Linked DNA regions of Ovis aries. The protein of the gene in region 1 purifies or fractionates together with the protein of each later gene. This does not show direct contact. Links are inferred from orthologs where the notes say so. Each region holds a gene or a part of one and is shown on either strand. Other genes may lie near its edges. The genes, in order: CD44, FGFR1 and ERBB2.

Region 1 (7,844 bases):
CCTCCTCACTGGGGCACACACAACCTGCTAAACGCTGAGGGTTTCCACTGACCATGTAACAAGGGGGCTTCCTGGGTCATCGCACCTAGAATGTCTGCAGGGTCAGAGCCTCTGCAAGGACCCCCCCCTTTTTTTTTTCCGTTTCCAGGCAGAAAGCCTTGCCCTGACTTGTCTCTTAGACAAGCAACAGCCTCTCCCTTTTTTCCAAGCCTGCAAATGAGAGCATGTCTGGAAGGGCAGCTGGACTCTGATAAGGGAATTGACTTATTTTAGTAACAAATAGCTAGGTTGGCATCTCTCGACAGCTGTGGCCAGGACTGGAGAGAGACAGGCCAGGGCAGAGCAGGGCAGCCAAGAGTTCTCAGCCTGCCAGGGAAGAGGAAAGCCACTCATCCCAGGCTTCACTTTTGCTGGCCTCACACAATTTCCAGAGTCCTCCAGAGGCAAATAATGAATCAAAGCAACACAGGCACTGGAGTCTTAACACAGAGGATGTGAGACAACAGAGGACCCCAACTCCATCACTCATACTAGCTGTGTGTCCTCGGGCAAGTCATTCCATCTCCCTGAGCCTCTCAACTTCTTTATCTGGAAAATGGAATGAAAAGATTGCTAAACACACACAGGGCTGTTGTGAAGCTTATATAGGATAACCTGTTCAAAGCCCATGGCTGAATGCCTCGTATGAAGCTGTGTGCATGCGTGCTCAGTTGCGTCCGACTCTTTGTGACCCCATGAACTGTGAAGCCCTCCAGGCTCCTCCATCCATGGGATTTTCCAGGCAGAAATACTGGAGTGGGTTGCCATTTCCTCCTCCAGGGGATCTTTCTGAGCCAGGGATTGAACCCACATCTGCTGGGTCTCCTGCCTTGCTGGCAGATTCTTTACCACTGAGCCACCAGGGTCAGCGCTCGGTAAATGGTATTGCCTGCAGATTTAGGACCCTACTTCATAGAGGAACCGAGTGTCAGGCTTTTAAAGCTGGAATGCTGCTAACTGAGAGGGATTCAGCAACACCCCAGGAGGCTCTGGACAGTACAGAGGCTCTACCCCAAGCAGCCACTTTGCTTGATAAGAAGAAAGTTATCATCTTTATTCTTAGGTTAAACTCAAACTGGGTATACTGTGGAGGAAAATATAAAATTGTATCGAGTGTTTAAGACAGCAACTAAAGGTGTGAAACAAACGTTGCTACCTCTGTAGACCACACATTCCCCACCCACTGTAAGCAGTGGGCTCAGTCCTGGAGGATTAAGGTATTTCAGAGCCCTGAGGTTTGGAAAGCGTCCTGTGCTAACACTCGGCCTGAGAGACAGGGGAAGTCACCTTTCTCTCTTTGGGGACCTGTTTCCTCCTTGGGAAAAAGAAAGGGTTTTTCTAAATGATTCTTGGAGTCCCCATCTCTGAATCTACAATAGTGAGTCAAGAAATATTTCTTGAATGAGTGGAAAGGGATCTGTCATAAACTAAGAATTTCACACTGCCCTGCAGCCTCTCCAAATTGCGTGGGCCAAACTGGAAAAAGAACGGAAACTTTTTCTACTGGCTGCAAAACTCAAACACACCTACTTGGCACTGTGCCTTTGTAGGAAGGAAGATGGCCATTGTGTATCTGGGGAACAACTGAATTAACTGATGCTAACCAACCTCAGCGGGAATGGAGGTTGGCTTCGTTGCTGCTTCTCCTGGGAAAACACAGCCAAAAGTCTAACTCCCAGAAAGAGGGGTCTCTAAGGCTCAGAGGGATCAGAAGGGTGCCAGCCACCCCCAAAGCCCCAGAGCTCTTAGCTGCACCCCTCTTTCTAAACACCAGGGGCACAATTCTCTAGCAAGGACCTCTCACCCACAGAGGACAGGAGGCAGGCAGGTATAGAGGGCTCACTTCACTGCTCTTTATCCAGGGTTACTTTCGTCCTTCCACGTGTGAAATGTAGTTCAACAGATCTGTTCTCCAACTTAGAGTTTGGGTCCAACGCTGCTTAATTGTATTTGGCTATGTCTCTACTTCTTGCTTTTCAGTATGAAGATCAGACCCTTTCTTCCTCCCCAAAGCCTTGCCACTTGCTGAAATGTCCACATTGTCCTCTGGAGCCCACCACCTTCGCTGGTGGGGCACCAGAAGAGTCTTCCCGCCTCCTCTTTGTCCTTCCTCTCTCTGCCAGCCCAGCCCGAGCCCACTGTTAACTCACATCTCCTTCCCAAGTCTCAGTTCCTTCCAAAGAGCTTAACAAGTGCATGAAAGCCTGGGCCCAGGCAGCTATCGCTACTGGCATTTTTTTGCGCTTCCTCCAAATGACGCTCCCCAAAGGGACCACGGAAACCCAGAGCAGGAGTAAGCCTGCCCATCTGGGGGGAAGGGAGGAACTTCAAGGGTCAGGACAGTGCCAAATATCAGGGGATGGGGCCCTTTAGAAGAATTTGCGCTACAGGATGGAAGGAGTCAGGAGTCGAAATCCTCAGAAGCAAAGCAGAAGATGCCCCAGGGAGGTAACATACAAATGGACTTCCTTATAGGCGAGAGAGAGAGAGAGAGAGAGAGAGAGAGAGAGAGAGAGACAGAGAGAGACAGAGAGAGACAGAGAGAGACACCAGCCTGGTTCCTCTTCCCTGAGGCCAGGCTCACAGCTCTCCCTGAAATCTTTCCCTGCTCTCTCCCATCCCAAGTCTCTCTGCCTTTCAAGAGATCCCTGGAGCTCCAGTTCCCCTTTGAAAGCCTCCTCTAAAGCCTCTGGTCCACCACCTCCTTCATAAAATCCTTTCTGAGTTTGTCCATATCACGCTGCTGTTTGTCCATATCATACATGCAGCTTAACCAGTGCTAACCAAGCAACAGGCAAAGAAGCTTGGTTCACAGAACCAGCAGTCTTCTGACTGTGTGAACACAGACAAGTCACTTAAGCTCTCTGAGCTTCGGTTTGCTGCCCTCCTGCAAAACGGGGCTAACGACAGGACACTTCTCAGTGGGCCATTGTTGAGGGTAAAACGAGATAACGCGTGTAAAGAATTTAGCACAGTGCCTGGCCCAGCCCAAATGTATAATAAATGGTGGCTGGTGCTGCCATTATGATTACTGTTAATTATTATTATTAATTATTACTTTTCTGATTCAGGAATCTAAATCCTAGACCCTCACTTATCCTCTCAGTCTAAAGTACCCCGGTAGGACTGTGTCTCTTACTTTCCTGGTACCCCCAGAGCTGGGTTTAATAAACACTTGCTGAGTAGAATTAACCATAGGTTGAGCTGTCTTAATGACCCAGCTGGCACTTCTTAAAAGAAAAATTAATTTTGCTAGCGATAAGCAAATCAGCCATGTAATTATCTGCACATATAAAGACAAAGAAAAGGAATGCTTGGAGTTCAGCCTTGCCAGAATACCTCACACGCAGCCACCCCCTCGACAGCCCCTGAGAAGAACGGACCCTGTGGGGATGGGATACAGGCGCCGGGATCCCTGATGCCACCCAGGAGCCTGCTTCTCTGTCCTGCTCCGAGGCTGCCAGGCACCCACTGGGAGCCACATGACTGTCTGGATTTCCCCTAACTGATTGGCAGCCTGCAGGAGGTTGCCAGGATGGAGCAGCTGGCCGAGTCACTGCCTATCCTACTCACACTCCCTGCCCCAGGCTGGCACCTCGTGGCGACCCAGAACCTTGCCACAGAGAAGGTTCAAGTTCCCACAAGCGTTAAGATTGTTCGTGACTGGAGCCAACTGTAAGAGCTTTGGAACCTAGGTGAAATGGGAGAGCCACAGGAACGCGGGACCCCATTCTGGGAAGCTTGTTGCCACCAACCCTCACAGAGGGCAACAGTGCCCACCTCTATGGCCACCTCGCTAGCACCCCTGTCCCTACCCCAGCCCCTGTCCCTGCCCTGCGCAGCCTGGCTTGAAGTGCCCTTGGGCACAGGAGTGTGTTAGTCCAGACAGGCTGCGCGCACCCAGGAGTACAGTTCCTTGTGCTCCACCGGCTCCAACCACCCCACCCCAAACCGCGCGCCAACAGCCTGCTGCCCAGCAAACTTTTCTGCGCCCTTTCTTTTTGCCGTTCCACAAAACGGTGCTTCCCAACGACAGGCTCTCCAAGAGCTTAGCGCAAATCCTCGCCCGGTCCTCCTTCGCCAAATCCCAGCCGCTCGCCGCCCACTTGACCCCGACCCCGCCAGGGCCAACGGAGCCCGCCCGGCTGGGTCCGGGCCACTCCCTCCCGTCCGGGCGGGCACTCACCGATCTGCGCCAGGCTCAGCTGCACGAGGCAGAGTCCCCAAGCTGCGCGCCACCAAAACGTGTCCATGGCGTCGGAGCGACCGACCGAGCGAGCGGAGTGGAGCCGGAGGGGCCGGGCGCTGGGCGGGGGCCGGCGAAGCACGGGGCAAGCAGGGCGCCCGAACCTGTCGGAGGCTGGGGTCCGGCTGGCAATGAGGGCGCCTCGGAAGTTGGGTGCAGTTTTTATTCGAGGGTTGAGAGTGACCTAAGAGGGAGGGAGCGAGGGAGGACACACCCAAGCGAGGGGGCTGTGACTAAGCAGCCCGCAGAAGTTTAAAGACGTACCAGCTCTCCTTAGCCCTGGCCCCTCCGCCCCCGCCCCGTTCTCCCCCGAGATAATAAAGCGGGGTGTCTGGGCGCGCACCCCGGAGGGCCGAGGGGGTCCCCGTGCACCCAGGACGCACCGACTTTTCTCTCCTGGCGGCTGGGAGCGCAGCCTCTGGACGCAGGAGGGAATAACTGAGTCCTGAAACCTCGCCCCTTTGGGTTCAGCCTCTGGCCTCTCCCCTCCGCGAAGTTTCTCTTTTGACTCAGGCTGGGGAACTCTTCTCTGTGGGTTTCACAGGCAGCTGGATATTCTGGGAGAGGGGCTGGGACCGTGGAAGTGTGGTTTTCCCCTGCGCATGGTCGGGAGCTTGCGATTCTTCCAGGGAAGGGAGGAAGAGCTCGTCGACCTTCCCTTGAAAGAGAAGGGAGTTCATTAACACGCTTCGGGTGGACTTTTGATTCTTAGCAGGACTGCTCAGGGAAAGCTAATGGTAGCCAGCCACGGGGCTGGTATTTGGCTCTACTGACCTGTACATCATCTTCCGGTCCCAGGCTGGCACCTGGTTCCGTCTATCCATTCCTCCTTGGCTTACTCACACTCTCACTCATCCTCCCAAACACCCACGGGTTCCTCTATCTACCCATTTTATCTTGTGTCTCTCCAGGGCTCACACATCTATTTACCCTCCTGTCCATCGGTATGCACTGACATGCACCCAGCCTCCTGTCCAGCCATTCTGTCTACCCATCCATCAACCACATCTTCTTCCAACCACCCTCCCATACAACTTCTCATCCATCTATTAATCTTTTCACATCTCTTTGTAAAGCCACATCCATCTATATACTATTCTCCCCTCCATCCATCCATACCCACATATCTGTTCATACATGTACTCACACATTATCTATCCATCCATCCATCCATCATCTACATATCCATTCATCATTTTACCCCTCCTCTCACCCACCCACACATCGATCCCTTCTTTCTTGGTCCCGTTTATATTCCTATCTACATGAATATTAATCCACTTTCTATCCTAATCTATTCTACTCAGCAAATCTCAGAAAAGGGAGGAGATTGTCATATTCCTCATTTTGAGTTTGAAAAAATCATACTTTGCACTATAATTCCATATCTATCTGTAACATTGTGATACAATATTTGAAAAGCAAGTGCAGCATTTATTGCTAACTTGGACTACTGAATCTGATACCAGAAACTGTGAAGAGACCCTGAAAGAGCCTTGCCAGCATTTTTAAAGCAAAGTAACCACTTTTTTATTTTGGAGAGCAATTGGAACATTTGATCAGATAAAAAGATTGAAGGAGGACAGCAAGATATGAGGCTAGGGGGTAAGCAGGGGCCAGTTTGTAAATTATACTAGGAAGTTTGAGCTTGATCCCTAAGAAACAGGAAGTCAATGAAAGTTTACTTTGCTGTTGCTGTTGTTGTACTAAAATACACCTAATAGAAAATTTAACATTTTAGCCATTAGGTAGCTTTTCATGCAGTCATGAAATTGTGCAGCCATCCCTACTGCTTTAGTTCAGGCTGCCATAACAAAGTACTATAGACTGGGTGGCTTAAATGACCGATTTATTTCTCACAGTTCTGGAAGCTGAGAAGTCCACGATCAGGGTGCCAGTATGGTCCGGTTCTGGTGAGAACACTCTTCTGGTTTGCAGAGAGTCATCTTCTCTGTCCTGTCCTGTCCTCACAAGAGGGAGAGAAGGGGATGGAGGGCGAGAGAGAGGACAAGCTCTCTTGTGTGCATCTGCTTATAAAGGCACTAATCCCATTCACGGGAGCTCCACTCACATGACCTAAACTACCTCTCAAAAGCCCCACCTCCTAATAGCCTCACACTGGAAGTTAAGATTTCAACATATGAACTTGCAGGGAGACAAACATTTAGAACAAATGCTATGTAGTTCAGTGTGAGTTTTGAGTTGGGAAGAGCCTGCTTGACTAGGGGCTGTTCCTCTTGCATTTTCAGGGAGAGTATTTGGAGCTGAAAGATCGCTGGACTTACTGTTCCCCAGCTGCTCAGTGGCTGACATTCCACGTCCAAAGGGGTGGCCCGTCTGAAACAAAGAGCCCCACTTGACCAACAGGTATGCTGATAAACGCTACAATAGTAGCTGACTTGGCCGAGCCATCTGTGACCAAGAGGACACTTTCCTTCAGCAACTGGGGGCAAACTGGCTTCCAGGCAGATCTTCAGGCTCTGATCACGTGAGAAACCAGCCCTGGTGAGTTTCGTGGAGAGAACACTGGACAAGGAATGACCGTGGCTGTTTTGTGTCACTTCCAGGGTTTTCAGCTTTTTTTCTTGTTTGTTTTGTTTTGGAGAAGAGGGGGAAAGTGGAATGGATATTTGTAGTCACTAGAAAGACTGGAAACAATGTTTGTCTTTCTGTTCCATGCATGGAACTAGGTATTTCCTTGGAGACTCCTCAGAAACATACACAGGGATCAAAGCAAAGGCTTAGGTGTGGGCTATGCCTCCCCCATGGGAGAAGGAAATGGCAACCCACTCCAGTATTCTTGCCTGGAGAATCCCCAGGATAGAGGAGCCTGGTGGGCTGCCATCTTTGGGGTCGCACAGAGTTGGACACGACTGAAGCGACTTAGCAGCAGCAGCAGCATGCCTCCCCCACTAGAGTCCCCATCCCAGCCACAGAGCTCCCTCTGGCATCAATGTTATACACTAGACTGCTGAATGAGATTTCATTTTGACAAAGAATTTGACTTCACGCAAATATTAAAAACCACTATATTGGGTCATCTTGAACCTTGGTCCCCTTTGCACTTGTGCAGTAAACAATCAGCAAAGGAAGAAACGTGTATGAAAGTGTTTTACAAACTGTAGAGGGGCATGCAAATTCTCGGGCATCATAGTTAGGATTCTTCTCCCAGGGGAGATCTTTTGCTAGCCTGCTTCCCGACAATTCAGTGCTGGACTGAGGTTGTTTGCCCCCATGCCGCAAATGACTCATTTCAAACTGCCCTGGTGACTTACTGAGTCAGGGCCACCCCTTGGGAATTCCTGGATCACCTCTCAGAGCAAACCCCACTCCCTTTCCACCCCCGACACCTCTCCTTTACTCTGCCCACACCACTGGCCTCACCAGGACTTTCCCTGCTCTTCTCTGAGCCTCTGTAAAGCTTGTATCTACAAAATTGCTATTTTTAGGTGGTCAATGTCTATTGCAGGGGATACTTTTCTAAGCCAAACTATGAGACATGGGAAAGTAAAAAAGAGAGCTTGAATTGATCTGGGTTGACGTGAGATTACACTATTTG
Region 2 (7,393 bases), on another chromosome or scaffold:
CCCAAGGCCTCAAGGCCACGTAGGTCTCCTGGCTCTGATGTTCCCGCCACCCCCCGGGGTCCCATGCTACCCAGGGGAGCCGTCAGGAGCCACACCTTCTTGGAGGCAAGATACTCCATGCCTCGGGCCACCTGGTAGGCACAGGACACCAGGTCTTTGGAGGAGAGCTGCTCCTCGGGGTGATGGCTGGGGTTGTAGCAGTACTCCAGCCCTGGCGGCCTCCGGGCCTGCAGGTACTCTCGGAGGTTGCCCTTGGAGGCGTACTCCACGATGACGTACAGGGGACCTGGGGACACAGCGTGGAGAGGCTGTCAGGGCTGCTGGGCAGCTGCACGTGCTGAGTCTCGCCCGGAGGAACCCCAAGGCACATCGCGAGCGTGTTCCCCAAACCCAGAAATTCATCTCACTCCCCAAAGAAAGCAAGGGCAGTCATTCTTCTCAGCCTAGTCCAGGACATTCCCAAGCAAAGCTGGGGCCAGAGCCCTGACCTCGACCGCAGCAAGTCACCTGTTCTGGCCACATGGTTTGCGTGGATCCAGGTGCCTGGACTCGCAGATGAACCCCCATGGGCATCGGGCCAGACCCCAAGAAACACATTCTGACTATAGCTAAACCGGCCTCTCCCCCAACCCGCTTCCCTCATTGTGGCTAAGAGATGCCCAATCCCTGACGTCCCAGCTAGGCATCTTCTCCCTGACAGACAGATGGCAGCAGCCTGAGTGCCTGCCTAAGCCCTTCCCCGCAATGGGTGGAATCCCACAGGCGAGGTGCCCACCGTCCTGTGTGCAGGCCCCCAGCAGGTTGATGATGTTCTTGTGTTTCCCAATCATCTTCATCATCTCCATCTCAGAGATCAGGTCCGACAGGTCTTTCTCTGTTGCATCCGCTGCGTGGACAAAGCAGAGAAAGGGATGGAGAAGCACTTGTGTCGGAAGGAAGGCCTACAGGACAAAAACTAAGGGAGGGGGATGAGGTAAACACCCAGGGGTCCCTTTCCTCTGGGACTTGCTTCTCTCTTTATGCGCCCCCGGTCCTTGGCTTTTTTTTTTTTCTTTTGGCGGCACCACAGGGCATGTGGGATCTCCTCTGCAGAGCAAGTGCAGAGACTTAACCGCTTGACTGCCAGAAGTCCCTCCTCTCTCCTTTTCACATCCAAATTTATCTCCCCTTCCCTCTTACGAGAGCTGCCAGTGTTGCCAAAAAAAAAAAAAGATCTGGGGTCACCAACTGATGACAGACGCCAAGGAACAAAGTGAGGTCATGGTGAGATGGCGGGGTGTGCAATGCCCCCCAACTCCAGGACAACCTAAGCAGGCTGTGGAGCAGGTGCAGGTAATAGCCTGAGGCCCAGAGTTTGCTTGGAAAGGGAAGGGGGTCGTTTCTGCAGGGACACAGGCACCACATACACTTTAGCATCTTCACGGCCACTTTGGTCACACGGTTGGGTTTGTCCTTGTCCAGCCCGATGGCCTCCGCCAACACCACCTGCCCAAAGCAGCCCTCTCCCAGTGGCTTGCCTAAAACCAGTCTTCAGGGAAACAAAGGGTGGGATAAGCTAGGGTGGTAATGTTCAAACCTGACAGGAACCCCCACTCCCCCTCCGCCTCCAGTTCCTTTGACTAAGAGCAGACAGTGGCAGTCACTTCTGGATGCTCCCCTGAAGGTCTGAGCCCACACCACTGCCCCCGTTAGAATAACGAGCTGGGGGGGCTGGGGGCGGTTACCTGTCCCGAGGCAGCTCCCAGCGAGGGTCTTCAGGAAGCTCATATTCAGATACCCCGGCCAGCATAGGGGTGCCGCTGGAGGAGAGACGCGAGGGCCGAACCAGCAAGACCCCGGAGTTCATGGACGCGCTGGAGTCGGCTGACACCTGCAGGGAGGCGTGGGGTCACCCTTCCAGAAGGGACAGGGGAGCAGCGGCAGGTCCCTTCCCTCCCCGCTCAGGCCTTGTTGCTAAAGTTAGAGGTGTGGACCTGGCATCCGGTGCTCCCTCCCCAACACAGGCAGAAAGGCCACAGGAGGTCGGAAGAACGAGGTTCTAACACTGACTTATGTTTGCCACCAACTCCTTTCTGGGTTTTGGATTACTCACCTTTCACATGAGTGTGACAGCCTGACATTCTGTAACTTGTCACTGCAAGAGCAACTCTCTTCCTGTCCTCATTCTTATGTGAAAACCCTGCTGTGGATGGGGGGTTCCTGACTCCCGAAGCCCCTTCCAGAATTAGCATGGCTCAGAGCGAAGCCTGCCTCCTTTTCTCATTTCACACACCTTCACCCTCTGTTCCATCTCCTGGGATGGGAGGTGGGCGCACAGGAGCGAGATGGCATCTTGGGACCCAGCTCAGCTCCTCTCCTCTGCACCTTTGCATCCCTAATGGGCCCTCAGGGGAAGCTCAGATTCATAATATGAGCTGGGCATTCAGTCCAGTGAGGACCATCTCCCAGTCCCCAGGCTGGCTGAGCAGGGTACTGTGGTTGAGGTAAGATGGGCTCACAGGATTCATCGGCCAGAAGAACTTGGAGCCTGACCCCAAGCACTTAGGACACTCTCCTGCTGCCACCCGGAAGCCGGACACCAAAGTCTGAAGTAGGGACCCTGTGGCAGGTCCCGCAGACCCCTCTGGGGTGCAGGGAGGACGCACAGGGTGAGGCAGAGCATGCGAACCCCCCGTCTACTTTCTGTTACCTGTCTGCGCAGAGGGATGCTCTTGGCTAGCTTGTGCACGGCCATCTGGCTGTGGAAGTCACTCTTCTTTGTGCCGCTCTTCATCTTGTAGATGATGACAGAGCCCACCATGCAGGAGATGAGGAAGGCCCCCGTGCAGTAGATGATGATCTCCAGGTACAGCGGCGAGGTCATCACCGCCGGTCTCTCTTCCAGGGCTGGGTCAGCGTGAACAGGACGTTAGTGGGCTCAGGGCAGGGCTGGTCCACTAGGGTCCCGGCTCCCTAAGAAACTCAACATCCATCTCCTAAACTCTGGGAGTCTTTGGGTTAGAGACAAACTGAGCTAGGTCCTAGATGGGATTGGGGTCCTGACACAGCACACAGCAGACATCCTGGGATCTGTGAGGCTCCCTGACCCTGACTTGAATCCCCAGAGGGATGGACTGTATCTTGCTAGCCGAATCCCATGCCCATGAACTCAGGAGCCCTGCTGGCTCAGGGACTGCTGGACTGGATGGGTACTTGGTGCCCTGCAAGAGACAGCTGAGCACTCATGCACGCTAGATGCCACTCAGTGTTCCCATGGACACACGGCCCTCCTCCACAATGCCCGAGCACTGGGTCAACACCTATCATGGGACAGCGAACGATCCGTTGGTCTTCCATTACTGATGGCCCAGGGGTACCCCGAGGGCCCAGGTGGCACCTCATCCATGTCTGCAGGCCACAGCGCCTGGCATCCAGTGGCACTCATAACGCAAAGACAATGATGCAGGGAGGAAAGAAGAAAACCAGCATATGTCCCGACTTCATTGCTCAGCTTTGCCTATGTCATCTATATCAGGTCAGACATGAAAACGTCTATACCTAGCCAAACTGCAGACAGAACTTCGCTTGCAAATGTCTGGATTATTACAGATAAACATGGAAACATCTCTTAAGACTTCCACTCACAGGTCTAACGCCTCACACTGAGCAAAGTCAGGGAGAGGGTTTTATTCATTTCTCCATTCAGACTCTCCCGCCTCCCACCCTCACTGAAGCCCAGGCAACTCAAGCCTCTTTCCCTCTCGCACGGAGGTGGAGAGGGTCCCATCCAGCAGGACATCCCTTCCCCCACCCCTCCCCTATTAAAGACCCCCGCTGGCCACAGGGGCCAGCACCCCGAGGACCTCCCCCAGGAGGCCCCAGGCATGACCCCAAACCAGCCCAAAGAACTCCCCAAGGTGCGACAAGGGACGGCAGAGCTGATAACGGAGAAGCGTTTCTGTTTTTCTCTTTCCCCAGCGTGGAGAAACAGAGACCATCCACTGGGAGGCACACAACACAGTACAAAGACAGTGATGAAAAAAGCAGAAAATGCTTCCGCGCCTCCAGTGGGCGTGCGTTATCAGAGGACGAGAGGGATGAGGAAAGAGACCAGAGTCCCAGGATGAGCAGCGCCGCGCCCAGCTCCAGCCCCGAGGCCGCCAGCCCACCACCCTGCACAGGCTGCAGGCTCCTGCCTTCCTGGCCCTACCTCCACAGCCCCCTCTGGAGAGGAGCTGCACTGGGAGCCAAAGAGGATAAACGGGCACCATCGAGCCCCCTGCGCTGCCTGGGAAAGGACTCGCTCAAAGCCGCTCAAGTCCTCTGTCTGGGTCTGGAGGAACCTCGCCCACCGAGATCAGCAAGGGGGAAGGTGGAGAGCATTGGTGCTTCCAAGCGGCAAGCCCCTCCCTTCAGAGCACCTATATTCAGTTACAGGGGGAGCCTCTCGGAGACTTCGGGGGCTGGCAATAAAGCAAGACTGCTGGACGCGAGGAGGGAAGGAGCCTGCCCTGAAGGAGAGCCCAGCTGCAGGTTAGATCCAGACCCCATGCATGTATCGCTCCAACCCGGGGGAGAGACGGAGGCAGGCCCACAAGTGAGAGCAATCTGAGATCCTGCACCAGGAGGAAGACTCCGGGGTGAGCTGAGAAGGTTTGATCCATGAGGCCAGATGACAGGCCGGATGACTTGCTGGAGCCGCGTGCTGCGTATGGAGCCCGGCTCTGTGTCTCCCCCGACCCTGCGATGCATGCTCCCCCCGTGGCCCTGGCGAGGGCAGGACATCGAGAGGAGGAGGACAGTGTATACCTTCCAGAACGGTCAGCCATGCAGAGTGATGGGAGAGTCCGATAGAGTTACCCGCCAAGCATGTATACTCCCCCGCGTCCTCAAAGGAGACATTCCTTAAGTGCAGCACCTCCATCTCTTTGTCGGTGGTGTTAACTCCGGCCGTCTAGAAGAGACAACGGAAGCCACATGGACAAGCCCGGGACCGGAGACCTCTCAGAGAGGGAACGAGGAGGAGGAAAGGGGGAAGAAAAAAATAACCAGAGGAAGAAAGGTTCCCCAGCGTCTCCTTTGCAACAACGGACAGACAAAAATCACCAGGCAGCGAGAAACCTGTTAGAGGAAGAGGGTGAGAGCCTGAGGAGGAACTCGGCAGACCTGACGGCGCAACGCGGATGGCTGGTTACACCCGTCACCAGGCGCAGCAGCCCCGGCCCAGCCCCGCATGCGGCGCGAGCGCATGGAGAAATGGGCCGGCGCGGGGGCTGTTTGGTTTCCAGAGGGGACACACAGGAGGAACAGAGGGGGCTGGCTGCAGCCTCACACAGACACTCATACCCGTACTCACCACCACACACACACCCTCACACCCACACAAATACCCCCATCCTACACCCTCAGACAAACACACCCCACACACACACTCACCCACACACATACCCCCCCACATCCCACACACTCACACACCCCACACACACACTGACACAGCCCCCCCACACATTCTCACTCCCTCACACTCTCACCCCCCCACACTCACCCACACAAATACCCCACACACACATATACCCCCACCACACACATACCCCCAAACACAACTCCTCAGTCACACACACACCCCCCACACACTCTCACCCCCCACACTCACCACCACACAAATACCCCCCACCCCCCACACATACACACAGCCCCCCCCCACACCCACACCTCCCCAGTCACACACACACACACACACACACCCCACACACACACTCACCCCCCACACTCACACCCACACAAATACCCTCCCACACACATACCCCCCCATCCCATACACACACACCCACATTCCCCCCACACACACATCGCTATAGACGCTGGTCCTCTCTCCTCTCCATCACTCGGACCCTCAGTCTCCAGGATCACCCAGGACGCACCCCACACGCAGCCAAGAACACACACAAGGCACAGAGGGGTGACACCAACACAGAACCGAACCAATCCAGCCGCCCAGGCCGGGTATTTTTCCATGGCTCCGGGCACTAGAAACAGCAGGCTCACAGGGAGAGTGGGGCGCTGGCCTCCCCACAGCTGCCCTGGCAGCTCGGGGCCTCCATCAACCCCCAGCACAAGGGCCCCTCCAGCTCCCCATTACCTTTTGCCACAGGTCTGGTGACTGTGAGCCACGCAGACTGGTTAGCTTCACCAATATAATTGGAAACCTTACACACATACTCCCCGCTCTGGGCCTCTGTCACATTGAACAGGGTCAGGACCTCCGCATCCGAGCTATTTATCCCCGAATGCTGGAACAGACCAACGACATGCTGTCAGTTGGGCCAACACAGAGATGTGGCCGTATTTGCTCCCGTGCGGTGTTAAGGTGGGCCCAGGAGCTAAGGCAAGAGGCTGAGGTGACGCTTATCCTCTTTCCCTCATTAGCAGGATAAAAAAGTGGACTTTAAAAATCCATGTGACTGAAAAACAAACTGAATGAAAAAAATCATTGCCCCAAGCAAATGTTTCATTTGTGTTAAACCCCCTCCTCCAGGAAGAGGGCAGAGATTGCCAATGGAGACAGCAGCCAAGGTCCAAGGCCCTGGGCCCACTTCCTACATGGCAGTTTCAGTGCCCAAGGTGAGGCGCGTGGTGGCTGGCTGGGAAATCTTTGGAACAGCCAAGCCAGGGAGGAGGAGGTCTAAGGCTGGGACCAGGAGGGAAAGCAGGTTCCCAGCTTCTGGTTACTTCCTGTTGCAAGATCCACTGGAGAATTAGGCAATTAGCTTCCCTGGATTAATGGAGCATTCAGGGACATTCGAAGTCTGGGAGTGGGAGGAAAAAAGAAAGTGCCATTACTCCTGAAACCGCTGAGGACTGACCCATGGCCTCAGCTTTTCCAGCCCTACCTAAGCTAAACCGTGCCTGGCATCAGCCCACGTGCCAGAAAGGATGTGACTCAGGAAGCAGGGCAGAGACTAGCAGATGCTTGCTGGGAAGGCTGTGGTGGTGGGCAGTGGGAGAGCAGAGTGCCAATGCCTTCCCAGAGAAGCTGACCTGAAAGCCTGGGTACGGTCACCGTCCAAGCTCTTTAGAAGCCAGCAGTGCTCACCCCCAGCCCTCAGCATCCTACGAGCCTTCACCCATGACCTGCCACTGGTCCTTTGGAAAGTGGCCAGGGGCCCACGTAAGATGGAGCCTGGACCCAGCAGAAGGACCGGGGCCCGATCGCAGGGACTGAGCCGGACCCCAGCCACCTGGGCCCCAGGAGATACAGGCCTCCTTCCCCGAGCCCAGCCCACGGAGACCGGAGCCAGGATTACCTTCAAGATCTGGACATAAGGCAGGTTGTCCGGCCCAATCTTACTCCCGTTCACCTCGATGTGCTTCAGCCACTGGATGTGGGGCTGTGGGTCACTGTACACCTTGCACA
Region 3 (7,393 bases), on another chromosome or scaffold:
CTAGAGTCGTGTTGGGGGAGGGACTGCAGCCCCTTGGCCGCCCCCATTCCCAAGTCGCCATCAAACACATCAGAGCCTGCCCCTTCGGAAGGTGCCAGCGGAGATCTGGGGGGCTCCTCCTCAGAGGGCTCCAGCCCCAGTGTCAGCTCACCACCACCACTCTGAGGACAAGAGAAGGTCAAAAGGGAGGTCATTCATGGATCTGAGATGGAGGTTCCATGGGAAGTGACAGAGTCCCAGGAGATAAATCATCTCTGATGTATGACAGAGGCATGGTAGAAAGAATGGGATCACGGTTGGAAAGCAGTAAGAATCCTTCTTAGGGAAAATGGGGCCTCCTTCATGAGAGGTAACAGCTGGAGGACATCGGAGGAAGGAACCCTGGTCCGCTGGAGTCGGGAGGTAACCAACGACACCCACCCCATGCGATGGGAGCACTAACCCTGGTGGATGTGCTGCGGTGCCTGCGGTGGGCCGTGCCTCCAGCTCCTGGGGCAGGGTCTGGGCAGAAGAAGCCCTGCTGGGGTACCAGGTACTCCTCCGCATCCACCAGGTCTCCCATGTCGTCATCCTCCAGCAGCGAGCGGTAGAAGGTGCTATCCAGGGGGCTAGCAGGGCCCAAGTCTTCATTCTGGGGAGGAGGGAGACGCATGGCAGCCTCTCCCCAGCCCAGTACGCAGCCTCCTAGGGGTGGCTCAGGGAGGGCTAGAAGTCTGATGAGTCAGGCAGGAGCTTGGAAGCCTGGGACCCAGGAATCATTCTTCCTTTCCTCCCTTCTAAGGGAGAGTGCTCTTAGCCATAGGCAGGGATGGGGTGAAAGGTTCAGTACCTGGATGACCACAAAGCGCTGGGGGTCCCTGGCCATGCGGGAGAATTCAGTCACTAACTCCCGGAACCTCGGCCGACATTCAGAGTCAATCATCCAACCTGGGGGTGGGCAAGAGCCTGGCATCTCAGTTCTGGCTGCAGCCTGCATGCAGCGCCCCTCACCCTCACGCCCAGTCTAGACAACACTAGAGTCCAAAGCCCTCTGATGATGGAGAATCTACCAGTTTCTCCTTTTTACTTTGGATCAGTCTTTTTTCCTAGCTGGCCCTCGCTAGCTCCTCTGGACTGGTACTGTAAAAGGGCAGGGAGAGCCTTCTGAGACCCATTAACCTTATCACCATGCTCTTGGCCCATGCCCCTTGTAGGCCCATCCGCCCAGGACCACCCACCCCTCCTCCAAGCAGCCAACACAGCTCAAGAACGTACATTTGACCATGATCATGTAGACATCAATGGTGCAGATGGGGGGCTGGGGCAGCCGTTCTCCCTTCTCCAGCAGGTCAGGAATCTCCCGGGCTGGGATCCCATCATAAGGTTTGGCCCCAAAAGTCATCAGCTCCCACACAGTCACACCTGGGGCATAGATGGGGTGGGAGGACCAGAGGCAGCTTTAGTGTACGGAGCCTCAGAGGCTCTGCCGAAGAGCCTGGCACCATGGGGGAAGGAGGAAAGATGCAATGCCAAAGGACAGGAGATAACTTGGTCTTTTCCCAGTCCCTGGGAAGCACACACACTCTGGCAGCCTGAGGCACTGGCAGCCACTTCCTTCCTTCTCACATTTATACCAAAGGTGTCTATCAGTTCACCCCATCCTTCCACCCACATTCTCCCCAGGGCCATGGCTCCTTGTCCACCCTCCCTACCCACTCCATCACACACCATAGCTCCACACGTCACTCTGGTGGGTGAACCGCCGGCGGAGAATGGACTCCAATGCCATCCACTTGATGGGCACCTGGTAGAGCAGAGAAGGAAGTCCTCCAACCAGGTCTGAGTTCTCCCAGGGGCCAGACCCCACTCCCCCTTGTTTCGGTTTGCTCCTCTAACCTTGCCCCCATCTGCGTGGTACTCTGTCTCGTCAATGTCTAGCAGTCGCGCTAGCCCGAAGTCTGTAATCTTCACATGGTTGGGACTCTTGACCAGCACGTTCCGGGCAGCCAGGTCCCTATGCACGAGCCGCACATCCTCCAAGTAGCTCATCCCCTGGGGTCAGAGGCATCAGTGTGGACCTCGCTCTGCCAAAACTCTCCCAGGAAACCTCCCTATCCAGAGGCTTGCTCCCCAAGGGCACCTGCAGAGCCCTGGCCCCCAAAGTGCATACCTTGGCAATCTGCACACACCAGTTCAGCAGGTCCTGGGAGCCCAGGCGCCCACGGTGTTCTCGGACGTGGTCGAGGAGGCAGCCATAGGGCATAAGCTGTGTCACCAGCTGCACTGTGGATGTCAGGCAGATGCCCAGGAGGCGGGACACATATGGGGAGCCTACACCAGCCATCACATATGCTTCCTGGAAACAAGGGCACACACTGAGAGGGTATGGGAAACCACTAACCCCCAACCACCACACACCCCTCCCAAGGGCTAAGCCATGATAACGGGCCCTCCGCCAACCCAATCCCATTCATCACAAATCGGAACCATGGCCCACAGACTAGGGAGGGTAAGAGTAGACATTTGGGGGAATCACAGGGTGTCCCCCAAAACCCCAGTGAAGAGAGAGAGAGCCCAGTCCCCCATACCCCCAGCTGGACAGGGTGGAAGGGCTTACGTCCAAGATTTCCTTGTTGGCTTTGGGAGATGTGTTTTCCCTCAACACCTTGATGGCCACGGGGATTTTCACATTTTCCCCATCGGGGATCCAGATGCCCTGGGCAGAGAGGAGGATGTGAGCAAAAGGACCGGCCAGATCAACCTGCAGCCGTCCTACTTGGGGTCACTGCTTGTGCTCCCAATTCCCTCCCCAACCCTTGGGCCAATCCCATTATTTAGCAGCAGCCTCACCATTTAGACCCACTGGCCACTCCCAATCCCCTATCCTTAAGTGCCTACTCAACTGCACCACCCGCGGTTCCTGGCTGTTGTCCCAGCACACCCTCCGCCACACCCTGCAGCATCCTCTAGGACCGCCCACCCGGGGACTTTGGCCCCACCCCTGACCTTGTAGACGGTGCCAAAAGCTCCAGATCCTAGCACCTTCACTTTCCTCAGCTCTGTCTCTTTTAAGATCCGCATCTGAGCCTGATTGGGCATCGCTCCGCTGGGCGTCAGGGGCTCCACCAGCTGGGGTGAGGGGGTAGTGGGTCAGTGCTGCAGGTTGGGCCGCAGACCCCAGAGCTCGAGAGAGACCCTCAGGTCGCCTCACCTCCGTCTCCTGCAGCAGCCGCCGCATTGTATACTTCCGGATCTTCTGCCGCCTTCGCTTAATGAGGATGCCGAACACCAGCCCCACAAGGACAACCAGCAGAACGCCCACCACAGCGGCAATGATGGATGTCACAGGGCTGGGGGCAGGAGCCAGGATCATGGATTGGGGACCAGTCTGGGGCAGGGGGGATGAAGGGGTCCCACGGTGGGGCGCGGTGGGGTGGGGGGAGGAGGGAGAGGGGGCTGACTGTCACTGGCATTTGGAAAGGGAAGTCAGAAGGGTGACCCACAGGCTCCCATCCTGTCTGACCTACTCTAAAATCCATCTTGGCTCCTTACTGTCTGGGAAATAAAGTCCAGACTCCTTGCTAAGATTCAAAACCCTCTACACCTACATCTCCAAGTTGTCTATGCTCTTGCCCATGGCTCTAGCCCAGGGTTCTTGTCAACCTGTGAGAGTACGGAGCTCCACCCTCCAGAGACTTTGACTGTGGTATGAGGTGGGGCCCAGGAAGGTGCACACAGAGATTCTGATGTTCTAGCCAGAATTTTCACCCATAGGTCACGATTTCCAAATCTCCCAGCCGTTGTTATAATACTTCTGCCTGGATCACCATTTCTGCATGAGGTCATCTTTCAAGACTCTGCTTATCCTAGGATAGAAGGATCTCCTGGGCACTGACCCTACATCCTTGTCATCCTTGTTCCCCTCCCTTGCTTAGCCAAGGGCTGGCTTATCACAGACCTCAAATGGACCCTTATGTCATGGACAAATGCTTACTCAGGACACACTCCGATCTTTTTCTCCCTAAAACCCTTCCCAAAACACCCCTCTGCCTAGAAATCAAGTCCAGCGATGGTAGTGATGGACATCACAGGGCCTGTGGCCTCATGGTAGGGGAGAGCCTATGCCCTCCAGATCCGGCCCTGAACTGACTCAGACTTCACCCCCTACTCCTTCCTCTGTGCTTAGTCAGTTACCCACCACAGCAGAATCTTCAGCAAATACATCCTAGACTTTCTGGACACCTCTTACCATGCTGCCTGGTTGCTTTCCTAATACAAGTGACATTTCGCGCCCCTCTTTCAAAACCTAGCTCATGTGCCTGAAGCCTCCCACTGACCCCAGGGAAGTATTCACTGTCTCTCCCTCAGTGCTGCAGCCATGCTCTCTTCTCAACGTGCCTCGAGTCCCAGGGAGTTGAAGGCTGCCTGTGTCCCTTATGAGACCCCCAGCTATACAGGGAGGGTGGGGAGGTGCTGGGTGTCTTCCTACCCCCTGACCCCCAAGCAAGCCGAGCAGGCCTTCCACCCACTGCATGTGTGTGTGCATATGTGCTGAGCCTCCCAGTTGTGTCCACCTCTCTGCAACCCCGTTGAGTGTAGCCAGCCAGGCCTCTCTGTCCATGGGATTTCCGAGGCAAGAATACTGGAGTAGGTCGTTATTTCTTACTCCAGGGGATGTTCGCAGCCCAGAGATTGAACCCCAGTCTCTTGTGTCTCCTGCACTAGCAGGCCAATTGACCCCTGCACCACCTGGGAAGCCCCTCCATCCCCTAGTTGAAGCTAACTGAAAGAAGCATCCACAGTGGAAGAGTGGGCTGGGGAGGACACGTGTCATGTCAGGACATGACACCTAGCAGCAGGGACCACCCAGGGGTCAGTGGGGAACTGAGGGCAATGTGGGGTGCATTCTGGGGACCAGGCTGACCTGGCTCTCTGCTCGGCGGGACAGCCCTTGTCATCCAAGTCCACACAGCTGCAGGAGAGAGAGAGTCCCGTCAACAAGGCTGGGAACCACCTCCTGCACTCACTCCAGCCTCACAGGATCCCAGGAGGTGGGTGTGACTGGGTTAGGATCCCCACTTGACAAAGGCAGAAACTGGGTTCGAGGTCACCAGGGCTCTTTCTACCATCCCACGGGGGAGTCCTCCAGTCTGTAAACCCATATCATTTGCACCTCCCTGTGGTGGGAAGGAAGTGGTGGCACCCAAAGGAGCATCGGGTTCAAGAGCTTAGCCATCTCCTCTGTAGAGGAAGCCAGCGTAAACTACTACTGTAGTCGGGCAAACTCCCGCAGTTCCTCCTGTCCTCCCAGCGGTTCCACCTCTGGGGATAAACCCTGAAAATGCCAACACCTGTACACTAGGGGGCATGTACAAGATGCTCACTTGTACGTGGAGCTCAAGTGCAATAAACTGCCAAAAAGAGAAAAAAGGAAACAAGTTCAGTCAGTACTCTCAGGCAGGGACACAACTAAATAACTCTACATCCATACTGCAGATTGAGTAGTTAAAAAAAAAAGGAGTTAGATTGATATGCATTCACAGGAAAGGACCTCCAAGATACATAAAGGGGGGAAGGTGTGGGGGAGCAAAGTGTATATGAGTCAAATAAATTGCTGAGAAATAGATGAGCTAGATGAAACTGTTGTTTCTTGATCATTTTTGACTTCTAAAAACAGCAATCTTATATGACTCAACGTAACATATACGTAAAATGCACTTATGTAAATATGTGCAGAAAAGCCTGGAGGAATGCACATTCCAGAGTGACCTGGTAGTTCTCTCCAGGGAGGGGAGGGGCAGTGGGAGAAAGGGCACTTCTGCTTTACACTGTTTACTTTGATACTGCTAAAAATATGTCTTACAAGAATGTATGCACGTGTTCCACGTGTTATCAAAAACAACTAAGTAAAAAAATAAAAAGAGCAGGGCGGATCACTATATTAGCACATGAAAAAGCATTGCAAGAAAAACTGCAGTGTTACGTGAGAAAAAGCAATTGGCAAACAATAGGTATGGTCTATGCTCCTATTTTTGTAAAAAGAAATATAGACTAGAATGTGCACAGATAAGAATTGGAGAATAAAAATAATATATAAACATATTTTATATATTATATAATAATACATGTTAGCATGTGCACATATAAACTGGAGGGAAAATATGGCAAGTTATTAACAGTGGAATAGAACTGTTAATACTATTAATTTATCCATGCTTTAATTTAAAAAATTTTAACAATATGTATTACTTTTGTGATCAGGAAAAAAAAAAGATAAAAATGTTAAGGGCCTTGGGGTAAGCAAAGGCAGAGATGTCCCACTTTTTACAATAAGAGCCTCAGAGAGTCTCCTGGAACAAGCCCTTCTTTATATGGGGAAGGCCCTCAGACTCACGAGTGGGTGCAGTTGATGGGGCATGGCTGGCATATGCCCTCCTCATCTGGAAACTTCCAGATGGGCATGAAGGAGAGGTCAGGCTTCACACCACTGGGGCAGCGAGCCACGCAGAAGGGAGGATCCTTGTAGTGGGCACAAGCCACACATTGGTCAGCCTCCTGGGAGGGAAGAAAGGGTTTGTGGGAGGCTGGCACTGATACCCCCGGGGCAGCAAGATCAGGCCCCTGGGTCCCCTTGGTGCTTCCCATGGCCACTCAGCAGCACTTTTCACCTTGCTTTTGGAACAGCCCCAGACCTGCTATGTCTGCTGCCCCTGTTCTGCACCCAGCTCCCTGGTGCTCAGACACAGTGCCAAACCCTATTTTAAGTTAATTCTTACTGTATCCTAATGGGGTGGGTACTAGCATAACATTGATTTCACGAATGAGCCAACTGAGGTTGGAAGTGACACCTGGATTTGAATCCAGGTAATCTGATGCCTGAGCGCCCAGGTCTAAGCGCCTTGGCACTGCCACAACCACGCGCACAGGCCTCCCTGGGCCTTCTGCATGGTCGGAAGGGTCTCAGGGTCCACAGTTCTTGCCGTTCCCAGCATCCCAGCCTCCTTCCACTCTCCTGCTGTTCAGGCCTGGGCTTGGAGCCCTCCCCAGGGATATTTCACTGGACTTGGCCAGGTCCCTGGCAGCTGACCCCTCAACCCCGCCCTGCTTCCCACCACTCAGCTCTGAGCACCTCACCGAGCCAAAGCAGGTCACTGAGCCATTCTGGGGAAGACACTCGGGGTGGCACGGCAGACAGTACCTGTCCTTCACGTACTCCCGGGGAAGCCTGAGGGGAGCACAGCCAGTGAAGGGGTCTGGAAGGAGCCCCTGCGCACCTCCCCCACCTCCTGGCCGCCCCCTCCTCCGCCCGGCATACCCCTGTAGTCCCTGTAGTACTCGGCATTCCTCCACGCATTCCTGGCCCCGAAGGAACTGGCTGCAGTTGACGCACTGGGTGGGCCCGGGACCCCAGCAG

The links.
Region 2: the proteins of CD44 (region 1) and FGFR1 purify together in Homo sapiens (affinity purification with mass spectrometry; 3 studies listed by BioGRID and IntAct, counting the BioPlex papers as one, with this or other methods). This does not show direct contact. The link is inferred for Ovis aries from reciprocal best matches to the Homo sapiens genes CD44 and FGFR1.
Region 3: the proteins of CD44 (region 1) and ERBB2 purify together in Homo sapiens (affinity purification with western blotting; 3 studies listed by BioGRID and IntAct, with this or other methods). This does not show direct contact. The link is inferred for Ovis aries from reciprocal best matches to the Homo sapiens genes CD44 and ERBB2.

The regions. Positions count from the first base shown.
Region 1 is NC_056068.1:64,454,357-64,462,200, reverse strand, and holds the start of CD44 (CD44 antigen), read right to left. Parts: upstream 4,419-7,844; 5' UTR 4,293-4,418; coding exon 4,226-4,292; intron 1-4,225. UniProt on the Homo sapiens protein: Cell-surface receptor that plays a role in cell-cell interactions, cell adhesion and migration, helping them to sense and respond to changes in the tissue microenvironment.
Region 2 is NC_056079.1:32,643,603-32,650,995, forward strand, and holds part of FGFR1 (fibroblast growth factor receptor 1), read right to left. Parts: coding exon 7,284-7,393; intron 4,934-7,283; coding exon 4,789-4,933; intron 2,887-4,788; coding exon 2,683-2,886; intron 1,871-2,682; coding exon of another isoform or gene 1,870-1,870; coding exon 1,725-1,869; intron 1,529-1,724; coding exon 1,407-1,528; intron 887-1,406; coding exon 776-886; intron 287-775; coding exon 96-286; intron 1-95. UniProt on the Homo sapiens protein: Tyrosine-protein kinase that acts as a cell-surface receptor for fibroblast growth factors and plays an essential role in the regulation of embryonic development, cell proliferation, differentiation and migration.
Region 3 is NC_056064.1:39,831,836-39,839,228, reverse strand, and holds part of ERBB2 (receptor tyrosine-protein kinase erbB-2), read right to left. Parts: coding exon 7,295-7,393; intron 7,205-7,294; coding exon 7,114-7,204; intron 6,535-7,113; coding exon 6,374-6,534; intron 5,391-6,373; coding exon 5,364-5,390; intron 4,952-5,363; coding exon 4,904-4,951; intron 3,330-4,903; coding exon 3,191-3,329; intron 3,109-3,190; coding exon 2,986-3,108; intron 2,696-2,985; coding exon 2,597-2,695; intron 2,336-2,596; coding exon 2,150-2,335; intron 2,032-2,149; coding exon 1,876-2,031; intron 1,784-1,875; coding exon 1,708-1,783; intron 1,402-1,707; coding exon 1,255-1,401; intron 928-1,254; coding exon 830-927; intron 632-829; coding exon 443-631; intron 162-442; coding exon 1-161. UniProt on the Homo sapiens protein: Protein tyrosine kinase that is part of several cell surface receptor complexes, but that apparently needs a coreceptor for ligand binding. Essential component of a neuregulin-receptor complex, although neuregulins do not interact with it alone.